Anolis sagrei: one gene and its partner. The protein of the gene in region 1 interacts with the protein of each later gene in a biochemical or structural test. Links are inferred from orthologs where the notes say so. Each region holds a gene or a part of one and is shown in the gene's direction. Other genes may lie near its edges.

Evidence for each region.
Region 2: of the proteins of ARIH2 (region 1) and CKB, one has a biochemical effect on the other in vitro, tested with the Homo sapiens proteins (2 studies listed by BioGRID). The link is inferred for Anolis sagrei from reciprocal best matches to the Homo sapiens genes ARIH2 and CKB.

The regions. Positions count from the first base shown.
Region 1 is NC_090022.1:28,588,680-28,598,584, reverse strand, and holds the start of ARIH2 (E3 ubiquitin-protein ligase ARIH2), read left to right. Parts: upstream 1-4,198; 5' UTR 4,199-4,391; intron 4,392-9,905.
Region 2 is NC_090021.1:327,580,180-327,590,084, forward strand, and holds the start of CKB (creatine kinase B-type), read left to right. Parts: upstream 1-5,310; 5' UTR 5,311-5,450; intron 5,451-8,122; 5' UTR 8,123-8,145; coding exon 8,146-8,338; intron 8,339-9,701; exon of another isoform or gene 9,702-9,711; coding exon of another isoform or gene 9,712-9,886; intron 9,887-9,905. UniProt on the Homo sapiens protein: Reversibly catalyzes the transfer of phosphate between ATP and various phosphogens (e.g. creatine phosphate).

The DNA.
Region 1 (9,905 bases):
TGAATGTTTCAACTAACCACCTTGATTAGCATTTGATGGCCTGGCAGTGCCTGGGACAATCTTTTGTTGAGAGGTGATTAGATGTGCCTGATTGTTTCCCCTCTGTTGTTTTGCTGTTGTAATTTTAGAGCTTTTTAATATTGGTAACCAGATTTTGTTCATTTTCATGGTTTCCTCCTATCTGTTGAAATTGTCCACATGCTTGTGTATTTCAATGGCTTCTCGTGTAGTCTGACATGGTGGTTGTGAGAGTGGTCCAGCATTTCTGTGTTCTCTAATAATATGCTGTGTCCAGGTTGGTTCATCAGGTGCTCTGCTATGGCTGATTTCTCTGGCTGAAGTAGTCTGCAGTGCCTTTCATGTTCCTTGATTCGTGTTTGGGCGCTGCGTTTGGTGGTCCCTATGTAGACTTGTCCACAGTTGCATGGTATACGGTAGACTCCTGAAGAAGTGAGAGGATCCCTCTTGTCCTCTTGTCTATGTAGACTTGTCCACAGATATATAAACCCACTTTCCTAGTTCCAATAGACCTCACTACCTCTGAGGATGCTTGCCATAGATGCAGGCGAAACGTCAGGAGAGAATGCCTCTAGAACAGAGGTCCTCAAATTAAGGCCCGGGGGCCGGATACGGCCCTCCAAGGTCATTTACCCGGCCCTCGCTCAGGGTCAACCTAAGTCTGAAACAACTTGAAAGCACACAACAGCAACAATCCTATCTCATCAGCCAAAAGCAGGCCCACACTTCCCATTAAAATACTAATAAGTTTATATTTGTTAAAATTGTACTTCATTGTAATTATTGTATTGTTTTTAAGTGGTTTTTGCACTACAAATAAAATATGTGCAGTGGGCATAGCAATTCATTCATGCTTTTTACAACTTATAATCCGGCCCTCCAACAGTTTGAGAGACTGTGACCTGGCCCTCTGTTTAAAAAGTTTGTGGATCCCTGCTCTAGAACATGGCCATATAGCCCGAAAAAACCTACAACAACCCAGTGATTCTGGCCATGAAAGCCTTCGACAAGACTTTATATCTGTTTCAGATTTTCAACAATTACCTCCTCACATAATGATTATTAAATTCTGTGTCCACTTTTGATATTGATGCAGTTTAATACCACTGTAAGTGCATTGGTACTTACAAATCAGGAGAACTGTCATTTTACAACGTCTTTTGCCTTTCCCACCAAAGAGTGAAGGTGTCTTATTTATTATTTATTTATCGTGTCCGTTACTGAATTGATAAGTCACTTCTGATGTGGGAGAATCAGTCATCTACAAAGATGTTGCCCAGGAGACGCCCGGATGTGTTACGATCCTGCAGGGAGGCTTCGCTCATGTCCCCCACCATGGTAGGAGAAGTGGTATCAAACTACATTAATTCTACAGCGTGGAGCCAACCTTAGAAGGCATGCTGAACACTTGATATTATCTGTAAGAGGAAGTCAGAGAAAAGAACAATGCAGAAGTGATGACACTATTTGCCTCTATTTGTTAAATAAATAATCTGCTGCCTGAATTCAGATGGAACAATGCCCTGCATTTGCTCAGACTGGAAAGAATGCTGAAAATTACTTACCAACAACTTTCCTCCATCTAGTGGCAAGATTGAGCAGTGTCTGTTTCACTTGTGAACACAGCTGAACACAAGATTGAGGATGACCACATCTTCCCCAATTCCTAAGCCTCATTTTACTTCTGCTAATTATTATTATTATGTGCATACCATGTCACTGATAAGCACAAGAGGGGCAGTCAGAAATGATGCATCAGAATAGGGAGGCATGGACAAACTTGGGCCCTCCGGGTGTTTTGGACTTCAACTCCCACAATTCCTAACAGCCAGTTGGCCACGCGTTGCTGTAAAATGTAATGTTGGTTTGTGGGGTTAACATAACTCAAAAACCACTGTGCGAATTGACATCAAATTTGGACACAATGCACCTATCAGGCCAACAAGTGACCATCACTCATAAAAACACTGAAAAACACAGTGGATGAAACTTAAAAAGCCAAAACAAATAAATACATTACAACGCATGTGCAAAACCACATATATACATATACACATATATATATACACACACAAAACACATATGCAAAGATTGAACCACAGCAATGCGTGGCAGGGAACGGCTAGTACATAATAATAAACATTATATATAGAAATTATATACTGTATGTACTCGAGTATAAGCCTAGTTTTTCAGCCCTTTTTTTAGGCTGAAAAAGTCCCGCTCGGCTTATATTCAAGTCAAGGTTATTTATTATTTTACCTGTTAGAAATACATAATAAATGTACTGTTATTGTTGTTGTTATTACATTGATCATTCTACTTTACTATTGTTTTATTATATTTCTTATTTTACTCTATTATTACCGTAGTTATTATTACATTTCCATTATTTTACTCTATTATTATTGTTAGTATTATTACATTTGTTATTTTACTCTATTTTTATTGGAAGTATATGCAAGCACATCCCTTATGAGTTTTATTGTTGTATTTGTTATGTTGTTGTTTTACTGAGGGCCTTGGCCTTTGTAAGCTGCACTGAGTCCTTCGGGAGATGTTAGCGGGGTACAAATAAAGATAATAATAATAATAATAATAATTTACATTGAAGGTTAGAATAATGGTTTAATCAGAGTTCCATAGTGTTATTTTAAATTATAGTTTTATGTAAATATTCAAAACATTTTACCTACTGATGCCTCAATTAATGCAGTTGTATTGCATCTATTTTTATTTTGAAATTTACCAGTAGCTGCTGCATTTCCTACCCTCGGCTTATACTCGAGTCAATACATTTTCCCAGTTTTTTGGGGTAAAATATGGTGCCTTGGCTTATATTCGGGTCAGCCTTTTTTTTCATCGTCAGGAGCGACCTGAGAAACTGCAAGTCGCTTCTGGTGTGAGAGAATTGACTGTCTGCAAGGATGTTGCCCAGGGGATGCCCAGGTGATTTGATGTTTTATCATCCTTGTGGGAGGCTTCTCTCATATCCCCGCATGAGGAGCTGGAGCTGATAGAGGGAGCTCCTCCGCGCTGTCCTGGGATTTGAACCTGCGACCTGTCGGTCTTCAGTCCTGCTGGCACAGGTGTTTAACCCACTATGCCACCGGGGGCTCCTAGAGTGGAGATGAGATCTGGGAATATTTGGTATTTAGAAGCATATATAGCTAGAAGGACACTTTCCATGTATAAAAGATGCATTCTCAATGCAGGAAATCTTAATAAAACTATCTTCCAAAGAATCTCATCAGCCTTCTTGATGGATGGTGGGGATTGTTTTTAAAACAGATCTCTGTGAAACAAAGAGCAGTACGTGTGAAAAAGATCTTGGAGTCCTCGTGGACAACAAGTTAAACATGAGCCAACAATGTGATGTGGCGGCAAAAAAAGCCAATGGGATTTTGGCCTGCATCAATAGGAGCATAGTGTCTAGATCTAAGGAAGTAATGCTACCCCTCTATTCTGCTTTGGTTAGACCACATCTGGAATATTGTGTCCAATTCTGGGCACCACAATTCAAGAGAGATATTGACAAGCTGGAATGTGTCCAGAGGAGAGTGACTAAAATGATAAAAGGTCTGGAGAACAAGCCCTATGAGGAGCGGCTAAAGGAGCTGGGCATGTTTAGCCTGAAGAAGAGAAGGCTGAGAGGGGATATGATAGCCATGTATAAATATGTGAGAGGAAGCCACAGGGAGGAGGGAGCAAGCTTGTTTTCTGCTTCCCTGGAGACTAGAATGCGGAACAATGGCTTCAAACTACAAGAGAGGAGATTCCATCTGAACATGAGGAAGAACTTCCTGACTGTGAGAGCCGTTCAGCAGTGGAACTCTCTGCCCCGGAGTGTGGTGGAGGCTCCTTCTTTGGAAGCTTTTAAACAGGGGCTGGATGGCCATCTGTCAGGGGTGATTTGAATGCAATATTCCTGCTTCTTTCAGGGGGTTGGACTGGATGGCCCATGAGGTCTCTTCCAACTCTTTGATTCTATGATTCTAAGAGGATAATCTGGAAGGCAAGAAGAAAGATCTCGTCCTCCCCCTCTTCACTCTCCATATGGCCCATAGAACGCTTCATCTCTGCTCCCCCCCCCCTCCCCGAGCGCTCTGAAGAATGGTTCGTTCCAGCCTTCCTCGCCTTGCCAGCTCCTCCTACGTCAGCGGCCTTCCCGGCGGCGGAAGTGACGCCGCGCTGGAGGCCACGGCTTCCGGTGCGCAGGCCACAGCGGCCCGGCTACAGATGGAGGCGCCCGTCTCCTCGGCAGGAAGGTGATTCGGTCTTCCTCCCTTTTCTTTCTTCTCCTTCTTCCCTCCTTTCGGTCTTCCCTTTCGCTCGCTGCTGAAGAGGCCGCGTTCATCCCAACCGCTCTGAGGGTGAGAGTCTCTGAGGGGAAGAAGCCGGGCCTTGTTTACATAGAGGGCGGGCGGAGGGAGAGGCAAGGCCCCCTCGTAGTTGCCTTGTTGTGGGCCTCAAGGGCAGGCATGGGCCAACTTGGGCCCTCCAGCTGTTTTGGACTTCAACTCCCACCATTCCTAACAGCCTCAGGCCCTTTCCTTTCCCCCCTCAGCCGCTTAAGCCCATGCCTGCTCAAAGGTCTGGTGCTTCGCTTCTCCCATCCTTTCATTCGAATTAAGGCAGCTTGGCACCCCTTTCCTTGTCTAGGCCCAATACTATGGGGTCCTGGGAGCTGTAGTTTGTATTCCCCATCCCGAGGATGGTGCCAAGAGTCCAAACTACAACAGTCACCGTTCCTTAGCAATCAAATAGGTGCCAAACTACCCTTATTGTACAGTACAGATGTAGAAGAACTTTATTTTTCTACCCTGCCTCCATCTCCCCGAAGGAACTCGGGGTGGCTTACATTGGGCCCAAGCCCAGGCAGAATATAATTAAAATAAAGCAATAACAATTAAAACAGCATAAAACAGCATTTATTTATTTATTATTGATTAACTTTATTTGTACCCCGCTACCATCTCCCCAAGGGACTCGGTGCGGCATACATGAGGCCGAGCCCAACACAACAACAGAAGCAATAAAACATCGATACAAGCAATTAAAAAACATAGATAATAAATACACAACATTATTAAAGAAGCCCCGGTGGCGCAGTGGGTTAAACCCTTGTACCAGCAGGACTGAAGACTGACAGGTCGCAGGTTCGAATCCGGGGAGAGGCAGATGAGCTTCCTCTATCAGCTCCAGCTCCTCATGCGGGGACATGAGAGAAGCTTCCCACAAAGATGATAAAAACATCAAATCATCCAGGCGTCCCCTGGGCAACGTCCTTGCAGACGGCCAATTCTCTCACAACAGGAGTCACTCCTGACACGACAAAAATTAAAGAAGCAACACATAATTAAAACAGTGGGAAGGCCAAATGTAGAGTTAAAATTGGAAATAATGCTGGGCCATAAGCAAAAGGTGATACTAGTGTTTGTGAAGGGCATACGAGCATAAAACAATATAACAAAAATAGCTAGCAACAATAATAACAGCAGACTAATTTTGGAGGGGGGAGGCAAACCACTACGTGAACTAGTTAAAGGATAAAGTGATTTAGTAACGTAGATTTATTTATTTATCGTGTCATCGGCAACCATACCATTGTATCACATTTCTAACAGAACAAAATAAACAATCAGATTTTTAAAAAACCCACAGATTTTGCAAACTTGGTAGTTGATTAAATGTCCTTTGACCAGTATCTGGCCACTTGGAGTGCCTCTGGTGTTGCCGCAAGAAGGTCCTCCATTGTGCATGTGTCAGGGCTCAGGATGCATTGCAGCAGGTGGTCAGTGGTTTGCTCTTTTCCACACTCGTATGTCGAGGATTCCATTTTGTAGCCCCATTTCTGAAGGTTGGCTCTGCATCTCGTGGTGCCAGAGCACAGTCTGTTCAGCGCCTTCCAAGTACTTGGAAGTAAGGTAGATGACAATGTATTAAGGCATAGGAAAAACCATGGAAACAGAGCAAATTAACAGGATCAGTTAATATAATATAGGACATCAGATTGAATGACAATTCAGGTCATAATACAGGCCATATGTCATAGGAGTCGTCAGTAGAAAGTACATTAATGTACCCATTAATCATAGTAATAAAAAAAGGCCTATCTTTTAATGTCAATTTTAAACCATGGATTTTAAGCTGGCATTTTTACAAGAATGGATGAGAGGGAATAATAATAATAATAATTATTATTATTTATACCCTGCCACCATCTTCCTAAAGGGGACTCGCGGCAGTTTACATGAGGCCAAGCCCAGCGATACATTACAGCAACATTAAATATAAACAACAAAATAACATCACAATAAAATAAATAAACCAATCAAGTAAAATAAACAGTACAAAATAACATAATGGAAAATCAGACACAGTGGGCGGGCCAAATGCATGACATAAAATGATAAAACACTGGATGAGATAGCAATGAAAAGGTACAATTGTGGGGGAGGAGCTCAAAGGGGACTGAACAGTGGATTTAGACTTTCAATAAGGTGGGGGAAAGTGCAGTATGGGGGAAGCAGTGTAGGTGAAACAACAGGACTGGAATATATGGTCACTCTCCAAAGGCACATCAGAAAAGCCAAGTCTTTAGATCTTTCTAAAGGGAAAGGACTGGGAGACATGAGGGAAGCCACCTGGGCCTTGTTTTACGTAGTAATAAAAACAATGACCTACTTTTAATGTCAATTTTAAACTATGGATTTTATGCTGGCATTATTATTTTTTTTGAAGAAAAGGTGAGAAGGAGAGGACTGGGAGGTGAGGGAAGCAACTTGGTTGCCATTTAAATTAAAATGGAAGATGAGTATATAATGTCCTGTACAGACATGGTCAAACTTCAGCCCTCCTTTGGACTTCCTACAATTCCTAACAGCCCTAGATTGTTTGTTGTTGATGTTATAATTATTAATTCTTTAAAATACAGGTATGATGGAGAACCCATCTAAAAATGCATGCATGCCTGTTTGGAGTTTATGGGGTCCTGACCATGGCTAGTCACCCTGTAAGCTCCAAACAAGCATAATAGGCTTGCCTACATGGTAGAACAGGCCTGGGCAAACATTAGCCCTCCAGGTGTTTTGGACTTCAACTCCCACAGTTCCTAATAGCCTGTCCAAAACACGCAGAGGGCAGAAGTTTGCCTAGGCCTGTTGTAGCATGGGTACATCTTCCATTACTTCTGCAGTGTATAGAATGCTGTGTAATCCTGGGACATGTCTACAAAGGCTTCCGCTGATAATTGTGTTCTCTCAGAAAGCAACTGCAGTGTAGAATGAATGCAGTCTGGCCCCACTTTAACTTTTATTCTCAATGCTGTGGGATCATTGGAGTTGTAGTTTGGTGAGGCGCCCACGCTTTTTTGTCAGAAGGCTCAAGATCTTATGAAACTATAGCTCCTACGATTTCAAAGCATTGAGCCACAGCAGTTAAAGTGGAACCAAATTGCATTCTTTCACCATCACAGACTCCCAAACTTTGGTCCCTCTTATTTTTTTTCATCGGCTCCCCAAAATCCCAACTAATGGGCAATGGAGCTCAGGCTTCTGGAAGCTGAGGTCCTAAACACCCAGAGGACCAATGTTTGGGAATCGCTTATCAATGAGGCTCCTTCCAGACAGGCCCTTTTGATCCCTGGTTTTCTGTTTATCCCAGATCATTTGGCAGTATGGACTAATATAATACAGTCTAAAGGAGAAAACCTGGGATCAGATCCTGGAACAAAGGGCCTGTCTGGAAGAGCCCTGAGGAATTCATGCAGTTTGACACCACTTAAACTGCCACAGCACAATGCTATGGAATTCCGAGAGTTGTAGTTTTTATGTTTTTAGTCTTAGTTGCCAAAGAATTTGAGTGCCTCACCACAAAACAACTACCATAATTCTATAGCATTGAGTAATGGCAGCTAAAATGGCATCAAACAGCATTAATTCTGCAGTTTAGATGCAACCTAAATCTACTTCCTCAGGTGAATTCGCAGAAGACGACTTCGTCTACAAAAGCTCATGCTACCAGATTTGTTTTATTTATTGTGCTACAAGATCCCTGTTTTTGAACTAGGCAAAAGAAAACCAGGTAAAGTAAATGGAAAAAAAATATTTGGGATGAAAGGTGTTGAAAGAGATCTATTGTCACAGGCTGGTACCATGATGTATCTGTGAATCATCCGTAAACTTATGAGCCTTACAGGGGTTTCTTGGGCAAGAAATTCTCAGAGGAAGTTTGGCCAGTTTTCCCCTCAGAAATAGAGACTACAGCACCTACAGTTCATTGACATTATCCCAAACAAGGCTGACCATGCTTAGTTTCCAATATCAGATGGGAAGTTGTCTTGACATTACTCCCAAGTTATGGCAAAGCCTCTATTTCAGGATTTTCTGCAACTGAGGCAACTTCCATACAGTTGAATAAAATCCTACATTATCTGCTTTGAATTGGAATATATGGTAGTGTGGACTCTGATGACCCAGTTCAACACAGATATTGTGGGATTTTCTGCCTTGATTTTCTGTGTTTTATGGCTGTGTGGAAGGGCACTGAAAATATGTGAATTCCCAGTGGGTTTTCACAGCTAAGAGCCATGTTAAATTTTTTGAAAGGATGACCAAGATGGAGTTTGCTTATTTTCTGGATTTAAACTACAGAGACATTCTAGCTTAAAATAAGTAATAAGTTCCTGATAGTAGAAGCTGTTTGACAGTGGGATAGTCTGCTGCCTCGAGGCTGATGGAATCTCTCCTTTTTTGCTGGGGGGGGGGGGGGTGTAAACAGAGGTTGATGACCATCTGTTGGAAGTGCTTTGATTGGGTGTTCCTGCATGGCAGAATGAGTTGGACTAGTTGGCGCTTGCCGTCTCTTTTGACTGTCGTGATCCTGTTTTAAGGGAAACCATTGTGACATCTCTGAGCTTTCTTATTAAAGTTCTTGCTATTGCTCTCTTAATATTTTGTGAGGTATTCTACAGACAAATATGCTTTGGGGCTAAAATAAAGTAGCCCTCTCCTCCTGAGATAGTGCATGAAATGTTCCAGTTCAAGTCTCCACAGAGTCATGAAACTGACTAGGTGACCTTGAACCATTCAGTGTCTCTCATCATGACCTCCCTCATAGGGTTGCTGCATAAGAATAAAGTGAGGAGTAGGAGAGCTACAAATGTCACCTTCAGCTCACATAAAGAAGGCAGGATGTAAATGCTGCTAACACCTATAGCATTGAGCAATGGCAGCTAAAATGTCATCAAACAGCATTAATTCCACTGGATTTCAGTAAGGCCTTTGACAAGGTCCCTCATGACCTTCTGGCAAACAAACTAGTCCAATGTGGGCTAGGCAAAACTATGGTTAGGTGAATCTGTAATTGGTTAAATGGACGAATATAGCCACTGCTTAGAGAGTGTGCTGTGTTTGCACTGGGGTACATAAGGCACCATACACAGGAACTTTCTTGGCCTGCTACGTGCACTTTGACAGTTAATATAGTAGATACTCAAGTGAAAAGTATTCAGATCCCTCTGCAGCTTTATATATATATGAACACTGTTGGGACCTAGTTAAGTGCCATTTAGAGAGTCATTATTTCTTTCAGTCGGTGATTCCAGCCATGTTGGCAAGATATGCTAATGACTAGGTGAACAAATAGATGAAATTAATGGATAGATTTGGATTTTTTCCACAAGGGTAAGCTATTACTACAGTGTATAGGCTTGATGTTACTATTTGAATTAACAAGTCTATGTAATAGTCATCTTCCTGTTTGATTTAGACTGAATTCTTGTGCGTGAATATTCTTGCAGTTATTTCTGCATTCAGAGTCTAGTATTTGTAAATAACTACATCTTCTCAAATAATGTTAAATGCTTTCACTAATCATCTTAATAA
Region 2 (9,905 bases), on another chromosome or scaffold:
GAAAGCGTGGATGAGCTCCCTCTGTCAGCTCCAGCTCCCCATCTAGGGACATGAGATAAGCCTCTCATAAGGATCATAGAATCAAAGAGTTGGAAGATACCTCATGGGCCATCCGGTCCAACCCCCTGCCAAGAAGCAGGAATATTGCATTCAAATCACCCCTGACAGATGGCCATCCAGCCTCTGTTTAAAAGCTTCCAAAGAAGGAGCCTCCACCACACTCCGGGGCAGAGAGTTCCACTGCTGAACAGCTCTCACAGTCAGGAAGTTCTTCCTCATGTTCAGATGGAATCTCCTTTCTTGTAGTTTGAAGCCATTGTTCCTTGTCCTAATCTCCAGGGAAGCAGTAAACAAGCTTGCTCCCTCCTCCCTGTGGCTTCCTCTCACATATTTATACATGGCTATCATATCTCCTCTCATCCTTCTCTTCTTCAGGCTAAACACCAAAACATCTAGGCATCCCCTGGGCAACGTCCTTGCAGACAGCCAATTCTCTCACACCAGAAGCAACTTGCAGTTTGGAGTTTGAATCCGGGGAGTGGGGTGAGCTCCTGTATGACCGCTCCACATCCTCATGTGGGGACATGAAAGAATCCTTCCACAAGGATGGTAAAACATCAAAACATCCGGGCGTCCCCTGGGCAACATCCTTGCAGACGGCCAATTCTCTCACACCAGAAGCGACTTGCAGTTTCTCAAATCGCTCCTGACACAGAAAGAAACAAAACTGGGGGCATAATCCTTGTTGACAGCTGTACTGAAAAGGAAGAATAATTTTTGTGTGTGAAATAAAATCTCTATCCCGATTACAATACAGGAATAGTGACCTTGGACTCCAACGTCCCACTGAAACCAGCAGTACCACTTACCCCCAAGTAAACATTCCCAGGCTTGGCCTACAAATGTCAAGCAGAGGTTAGTTCTTAGAGAAGTAGCCATTCCCCCAGAGCGTGGATATTTTCTGTGAAGTTTATACAGAGAGGCAGTTAATCACTCACATGACGCGTATGTCCAGCTAGCCCCAATCCCTTAAAGCTCTTATTTGCATTTCAGCCCAGATCTTTTTTAAAAAAATTACTGCAATCTCAATAGAGCCAGAAGAAGCAGCTCAAGATGCGACAAACTTGGGCTCCAAAAACACATACCTGATGATGCAAGATTGGTTGTTATGAATTAAATTTAATCTGGCACTTAGAATCATAGAGTTGGAAGAGACCACATGGGCCATCTAGTCCAACCCCCGCCATGCAGGAAGTAAAGCTAAAGGTTTCCCCTTGACATTAAGTCTAGTTGTGTCCGACTCTGGTGGGCGGTGCTCATCTCCATTTCTAAGCCAAAGAGCCGGCGTTGTCCATAGACACCTCCAAGGTCATGTGGCCAGCATGGCTGCATGAAGTGCCATTACCTTCCCGCCAAAGCAGTATCTATTGATCTACACACATTTGCATGTTTTCGAACTGCTAGGTTGGCAGAAGCTGGGGCTAGCAGTGGGAGCTCACCCCGCTCCCTGGATTCAAACCGCCAACCTTTTGGTCAGCAAGTTCAGCAACTCAGTGGTTTAACCCGCTATGCCACCAGGTATCTTTAAGCATGAATAGATTTTGGAATATATGAGGAGTCCTGGAACTAAACCTCAGCGGATACCAAGGTCCTTCCCGCCGAAGCAATACCCATTGATCTACTCACATTTGCATGTTTTCAAACTGCTAAGTTGGCAGACACTGGGGCTATCAGTGGGAGCTCGCCCCCGCTCCTCGGATTCAAACTGTCGACCTTTTGGTCAGCAAGTTCAGCTCAGCGATTTAACCCGCTTAGCCATTAGGACTGTGCAGGAAAAGCACAGTCAAAGTTTGGTGAGGTTGGAACGTTTACCGCACTACATTGCACATTAGCACATTGTTTACCTGCATCACACACAGATTGTTGCCCTCTCTAACATGGTTTACAGGCTTCAACATACCTTCCATAATTCTGTCAATCCTTCCAAGTAATTCCTCTTTGCCAGATGGTCTTTGACTAGCAGGGAAATGATACTAAAGCACAGCCTCCTGTTTCCGCAGGATCAGTATCGATGGTTTCAATTATCCTGATCCATCAAAATACATCCTCTCTAGGCATTTTCTAAGTCCTCCTCCAGCAGGACTGTGTGGTATTCTTGGGCCAGAAGTCCTTCAATTCAACAGAATTGGATATGATCCGTATTTTTTGCATATCCATGCAGTCTGGAAATGTATTTTCTGTGGATACAGCAATTATATAATTTTCATCATCTTTCACCAACATCTTTCTAGAGCCTACTAGGTGTTACAGCCTGGATTCGAATCCTGCCCAAGAATATAGAAACCAAGGAGGGAGAGAGAGAGGGAGGGTGGCCAATGGGACATGTTCTTTCTGGCATGGCATTCATGTGATGCTATCTATGGTCATTTCACTCAGGTGTTTCAGTTCGCTTGGACTTGATTTTGGATGGCGTGATTTTAATAACTCTTTTAAAATAGTGTTTATCAGTGGGTTTTAATACAAAAGTTATTATATTATCGATGTGTAATTTTTTATGCTTTATGTCTAAATGCTCTTTTATGTTTATATTTTAATTTGGTTAGGTTTAATTCATAGTTATGTTATTGTCTTGCTATTAGTATTTTGGTTTTCACATGTATGTACAGCATGTTGCCTTTATAAGGCTGGAAACCGCTTTGAATTCCCTTAGGACAGCGTTTCTCAATCTGGGGGTCAGGACCTGGGACGGGGGTCACAAGGGGGTTTCAGAAAGGTTGCCAAAGATCATCAGAAAACATATATTTCTGATGGTCTTAAGAACCCTTTTGACAGAGAAGGCTGAAGATCTCATCGTCTGTCCTTCTCTTCCTTTTTAGAAACAGACTGCGAATCCTCCCACAAAAAGCCCCCCTCAGCTGTGATTGACTGGCCTCTCAGCCAAGGGAAGAGCTGTTTCTGAGACTTCAAGAGGGGAGGGGAGAGCAGGCGTGCTTGGCGAATGGTGTGCATGTGTGGGCGAGGGAGAGCGTGTGAGGCTGAAGGGAGGTTTGCACCAGCAAGTACCTTCAAGGTATGGGGGTGCTGTGTGGGAAGTTTGGCCCAATTCTATCATTGGTGGAGTTCAGAATGCTCTTTGATTGTAGGCTATAATTCCCAGTAACTACAACTCCCAAATGTCAAGATCTATTTTCCCTAAACTCCACCAGTGTTTACAGTTGGGCATATTATTTGTACCAAGTTTGGTCCAGATTCATCATTGTTGGAGTCCACAGTACTCTCTGGATATAGGTGAACTACAACTCCAAAACCCAAGGTCAATGCCCAGCAAACCCTTCCAGTATTTTCTCTTGGTCATGGGAGGTTAGCGTGCCAAGTTTGGTTCAATTCTCTCAGTTGGTGGAGTTCAGAATGCTCTTTGATTGTAGGTGAACTATAAATCCCAGCAACTACAACTCCCAAATGTCAAGATTGATTTTCCCTAAGCTCCACCAGTGTTTACAGTTGGGCATATTGAGTATTCGTGCCAAGTTTGGTCCAGATCCATCATTGTTTGAGTCCACAGTGCTCTCTGGATATATGTGAACTACAACTCCAAAGCTCAAGGTCAACGATATCAAACTCTTCCGGTATTTTCTTGTTAGTTGTGGGAGTTTTGTGTGCCAAGTTTGGTTCAATTATGTCAGTTGGTGGAGTTCAGAATGCTCTTTGGTTGTAGGTGAACTATAAATCCCAGCAACTACAAATGAGAAAATAAATTCCCCTCAATGCCACCAGTATTCAAATTTGGATGTATTGGATATTTGTGCCAAATTTGGCCCAGTGAATGAAAATACATCCTGCATATCAGATATTTACATTACGATTCATAACAGGAGCAATATTACAGTTCTGGAAGTAGCAAGGAAAATAATGTTATGGTTGGGGGTCACCACAACATGAGGAACTGTATTAAAGGGCCACAGCATTAGGAAGGTTGAGAAACACTATGCTAAAGATTATGCAAAATTCCAAAATTGGAAATACTCCTAAATCTGAAATAGTCCACATGAGTGACTGAGATATTGGTGCTTTTCCTTTCTGATGGTTCAGTGTACACACACTTTGTTTCATGGGAAAAATAGTTAAAGTATTATATAAAATCAACTTAATTTTATGGTTGAGGGGTTATCACAACACGAGGGGGTATTAAGGGGGTTGTAGTATTAGGAAGAGTAAGAAACACTGCTTTAGGGGTTTTTAGACCTCAGTGGAGGTGGATGCATGTTGCTGTTTGGACTTTAGTAGAGAAGTATGACTTTCAGACTTCAGTGAGTATAGCTATATTTAAAGACTGTGGACAATTGACTAAGTATCATACTTAAGAGACCATATCTTATCTAACTGAACTCTAATAAGAAATGTGCCTGTGTGGTGAATATATACAAGAAGTTTGTTAGTAAACCCAAAATGTTATTTTCAAAGACTACTTTGTTTTGTCTCCCGAGTGCATGTTTTAAACAAGAGTTTTTGTAAGGGAGAGTAGATGGGCAACTTCAACTTCAAAGAAACAGCCATCCTCTGCTAACCAAATATATTTTTGTAATTGCATGTCTTTATCCTTGGCTATTTAAAGACATGGTTCTTCAGTTTAACAGCTGAGTTATTTGTGTGCCATTACACTGCTTTTTCTGCCAACCTAGCAGTTCAAAAACATGCAAATGTGAGTAGATCAATAGGTACCGCTCCGGCGGGAAGGTAACGGCACTCCATGCAGTCATGCCGGCCACATGACCTTGGTGGTGTCTACAGACAACGCCGGCTCTTCGGCTTAGAAATGGAGATGAGCACCACACCCCAGAGTCAGACATGACTGGACTTAATGTCAGGGGACTACCTTTACCTTTTACACTGCTTTAGGGAGAGAAAAGTGAGATATAAATGCAGTCAATAAAGAAGTACATGCTCCCAGAGCACCTGCCAGCTTGGGACCCACCCTTGTTTACTTTCTCCCAGAGATGCAGTATCTCCCTTTGTAAGGCTTTGCTATTTCATCATCTCACTTTGTCTCCTTGGAGGAGGAGGAGGGTCCATGTCCTTCCCTTTCTTCCCTTCAGAATTGGAACCCAAAAAGACTGGGACTCTTCCTTTCTCCTCTCCCTCTCCACCTGACTGGGAGGCCTGGCTGCAAACTGGGAGCGACTGGGCCAGCAGAGCCCTCTCTCTCCCTCCCTCCATCCTCCTCCTCCTCCTGGAGAGCAAGCCTCCAATGGAATGAATGGAATATAAATAGTGTCCAATGGGTGCTTGGCTTGGGCTGGATATATAAGCGGAGGGAGGGCGGGGGTACGGCTCCATTCGAGGCAGGTCTGTCTGGAAGAGCAGCCGGGTTCCTCCTTCCTTCCACTCACTCACTCACTCACCCACTCGAGGAGGCACAAGTGCGCCGCTTTTGTCTTGCTCTGACCCTCTCGGTAAGTGCTGGGAGGCAAGTCAACCAGGAGTCTTGGGGAGGAAGCCTATCATTTCCAAGGGAGAGCCAATGACCTTGCGATGCTTGCTCTTCTTCATGCCAATGTGCTTTGGGGTTTTGGAGAAGGGAAGGGAAAGGATGCCGAGAGTAACCAAGGCGTGGTGAGTTGGGAGACAGAAGATGCTGCTGCTCTTGACTCTCTTCCTGGCTCTGAAAAGCAAGAGCAAGACCACTCTCGTTCCCATTCTTTTGCCTCCTGCCTGCAGGGCTCAAGCTGCCTCCTTCTCCCATCCCTTGGCCCCGAATTGGCATTTAAGCAGGGGATGGGTTGGCATGATCCTCCTCTGCGCCAAGCAGAGAGGAGTTTCGTTACATAACGGGAGCGCCCTTTCGTTTTCCCCCTTCGTTCCCTCCACTTGGAGGGCGAGCGCGAGGAAGAGATGGAGTGGCCATCTTCCCCAAGGATGGGTGCAAAGGGAGCCGAAGCTTCTCAGTGGCTTGCTTTCCAGAGCCAGCCTTGCCCCAAGGACTTCCCTATCTCAGTCCTCCCCTAGAGAAGGTGTACCTTGCAGGGAAATTCTCCCCCTCTCCTCCTATCTGTGCTTTCCACAGCATGGTTTTTTTTTTCCTTCTCCTGTCAGGAGCGAAACTGCAAGTCGCTTCTGGTGTGAGAGAATTTGGCTGTCTGCAAGGACGTTGCCCAGAGGATGTAGCTGACAGGTGGGAGCTCAGCTCACTCCCTCATTCAAATCGTGGTGTGAGAGAATTGGCCGTCTGTAAGGATGTTGCCCAGGGGACGCCCGGATGTTTTGATGTTTTTATCCTCCTTTTGGGAGGCTTCTCTCATGTCCCGGCATGGGAAGCTGTAGCTGACAGGTGGGAGCTCAGCTCACTTCCTGGATTCGAACCCCAAATTGCAAGTAGCTTCTGGTGTGAGAGAATTGGCCGTTTGCAAGGACGTTGCCCAGGGGATACCCGGATGTTTTGATGTTTTTGTCCTCCTTTTGGGAGGCTTCTCTCATGTCCCGGCATGGGAAGCTGGAGCTGACAGAGGGAAGCTCACCTCACTCCCCCATTCAAATCGTGGTGTGAGAGAATTGGCCGTCTGTAAGGACGTTGCCCAAGGGACGCCCGGATGTTTGATGTTTTTATCTTCCTTTTGGGAGCTGTAGCTGACAGATGGGAGCTCAACTCACTTCCTAGATTCAAACCCCAATATTGCAAGTAGCTTCTGGTTTGAGAGAACTGGTCGTTTGCAAGGACGTTGCCATCCTTGTGGGAGGCTTCTCTCATGTCCCTGCATGGGAAGCTGGAGCTGACAGAAGGAAGCTCACCCCACTCCCCCATTCAAATCCTCGTGTGAGAGAATTGGCTGTCTGCAAGGACGTTGCCCAGGTGACGCCCGGATGTTTTACCATCCCTGTGGGAGGCTTCTCCCATGTCCTGGCATGGGAAGCTGGAGCTGACAGAGGGAGCTCAACCCGCTCTCCTTGGATTCGAACCCCCAACCTTTAGTCAGCAGTCCTGTGGGCAGAAGAGTTTAACCCATTGCATCCTGGGGGGCTCCTGGAGGAAGAGCTTGGATGAGTCAAAAGGAGTGCGATAGAGGAGGCATGGGCAAACCTGGGCGGCTGAGGGGGAAAAGGAAGGGGCCTGAGGCTGTTTGGAATGGTGGGAGTTGAAGTCCGAAACACCTGGAGGGCCCAAGTTTGCCCATGCCTGCGATAGAGAGAGGTATCTCCCTCCCTTTGCCTTCCCCTTGGGCTGTTTATCAGGATGCCCGCCCCATATGTGCCTTTGAGCCCCCAGAATGTCCCTCAGATGCCTTGGCTCTCAGTCTTGAAGGAAAAGGGAAGGAAGGAATGGAATGGAGAAGCCAGCCGTGCGCTCTTGGCAAGCAAAGCGCAATGGGAGAGTCTCCACCCCACACCCTTCCTTCCCTTGGGCTGTTTGCAGGGATGTCAGATCCACCTGCTTTAAAGGGACCAAGGAGAGATTAGAGGGAGGAAGATTGGAGAGAGAGAGGGAACCCTCCTTGGCGCATTCCTCACTGCCAATTTTGCCCAGGACGCATCCATCCCCAACCGGCTTCTCCGCTCTTGCAAAAGCGAGGAGAGTAAGTGAGGCTGGGCTTTGGAGGCAGGAGAAACCAGGGCGGGTCCCCTCTCTCTCTTCCTCTCCTTTTCTGTGGCACCATCTGGCCAGGAGGAAGAGGATGCAAAAGAGAGTGTCCAAGTTTGGGCTTCAACTCTCCAGAAACAAGGGATTCCAGAGCCACCCATCCTTTTCCAAAAACATGTCTGCTCCCTTGCCTTGAAGGTGACCCTTTGGGACCAAGGAAAGGAGGAAGTGGGGCAAGGCTCAGAGAGACAGAGCTCTGCCGCTTTCTATTCCTGGCCTCCTCTTCTCTCTCTCAAGCCAGGCTCTTGACCTTGAGCAGATCCCTCCTGCCGGTCCCTGCTGTGTGGCCCTTCCTGGTGCCAAGAGGAAGAGGAGGCGGAAGGGGAATGTTGGCCCAGTGCCTGGCAATCCTCAGGTGCCGGGCGGGGAGAGTGCCTGCCTGGGCAGGTCGCAGTACCGGAGACAAGGTGACCTTGCTGCGAGGCCCAGCTCCCATCCGCAGCTCAAGCCCACAGCTAAGCTTTCCCCTCTCCTCTTCTTCTCCCTTCTTAGCTCCTTGCAGTCAGGGGCCCGCCATGCCATTCTCAAACAGCCACAACCTCTTGAAGAAGAACTACTCCGCCGAGGATGAGTACCCAGATCTGAGCGCCCACAACAACCATATGGCTAAAGTGCTGACCTTGGAGCTGTACACCAAGTTGCGGGATAGAGTGACTCCAAGCGGATTTTGTGTGGACGATGTGATTCAGACTGGGGTGGACAACCCAGGTAAAGGATGCCGGGGCAGCGGCCCTTCTGTGATCCGGATCTGTTCTCCCTTCATTAAGTGAGGAAGTGCTGCTTTGAAAATGGCATCTCAAAAGACCTCCTGATAAGACCTTCAAGAGGCCTAGCTGCATAATACCCTTGGGCATTGGCCTGAATTGCTGTGAGTTTTTTGGGCTGTATGTTTTGCCCACATCTATGGCAGGCATGCTCAGAGATTGAGGTATTATATATATATATAATATAAATATAAATGTAAGGTGAGTTCTTTCTCCCACCCTGGACCTACCATGTGTATATAAACCTATATATATATATATATATACATATATGGGGAGCCCCCAGTGGCGCAGTGAGCTGCTGAGCTTGTTGATCGAAAGGTCGCAGGTTCGATTCCAGGGAGCGGCGTGAGCTTCCGCTGTCAGCCCTAGCTTCTGCCAACCTAGCAGTTCGAAAACATGCAAATGTGAGTAGATCAATAGGTACAGCTCCGGCGGGAAGGTAACGGGGCTCCATGCAGTCATGCCGGCCACATGACCTTGGAGGTGTCTACGGACAATGCTGGCTCTTCGGCTTAGAAATGGAGATGAGCACCACACCCCAGAGTCAGACATGACTGGACTTAATGTCAGGGGACAACCTTTACCCAACCTTTACCTAAACATATATGGATATCTATCTATCTATATCTGTGGAAGGTCCAGGGTGGGAGAAAGAACTCACCTTATATTTATATTATTTCTCCCACCCTAGACCTTCCACAGATATATAAACACACATATAATATAATATTTTATATATTATATAAACATACTCATATATATGGTTTATATATCTGTAGAAGGTCCAGGATGCGAGAAAGAATTCACTATATATATAATATATATGTATGTATAATATCTCACAACCTCTGAGGGTGCCTGCCATAGATGTGGGTGAAATGTCAGGAGAGAATGCTTCTAGAACCATGGCTATACAGACTGGAAAAATCACAGTAACCCTGGCCATAAAAACCTTCAGCAACACATTTACCTGAATGTTTAAATGTCGAGGGATGCAAACCGAGGATGCAATGAGCTGCTTGACGAAACCAATTGTATTCCAAATTCCTGTGTAAACACTCTGCTAAATACTTTGATGCGCAGTGAGAGGTATGCAGCATCTTCTCTCTTTTCTCTCTCCCTATTGGCACAACTTCGAAAGCTTAATACTCATTAAATTGGAGGTAGTTTTGTGGAAAAAGAAATCCCTTGGTTACCCTCTGTGGCACTTCTTTGACTGATAAAGGGGGAGCAGATCTTGGTGATTTTATGCTGTCTTTGTCTTTAACCCTGCAGTATTTTTGTGTGTTTTTATCACCTTCTAGCGAGAGCAAAATGCCCTTTAATAACCAGAAACTGCCTCCGGATGAGGAATACCCGGACCTGAGCACCCACAACAACCACATGGCCAAAGTCCTAACCCCGGAATTGTACCAGAAACTGAGAGACAGAGTAACCCCCAGTGGCTTCTGCTTGGATGATATCATTCAGACTGGGGTTGATAATCCGGGTAAAAAAACGAAACCAAA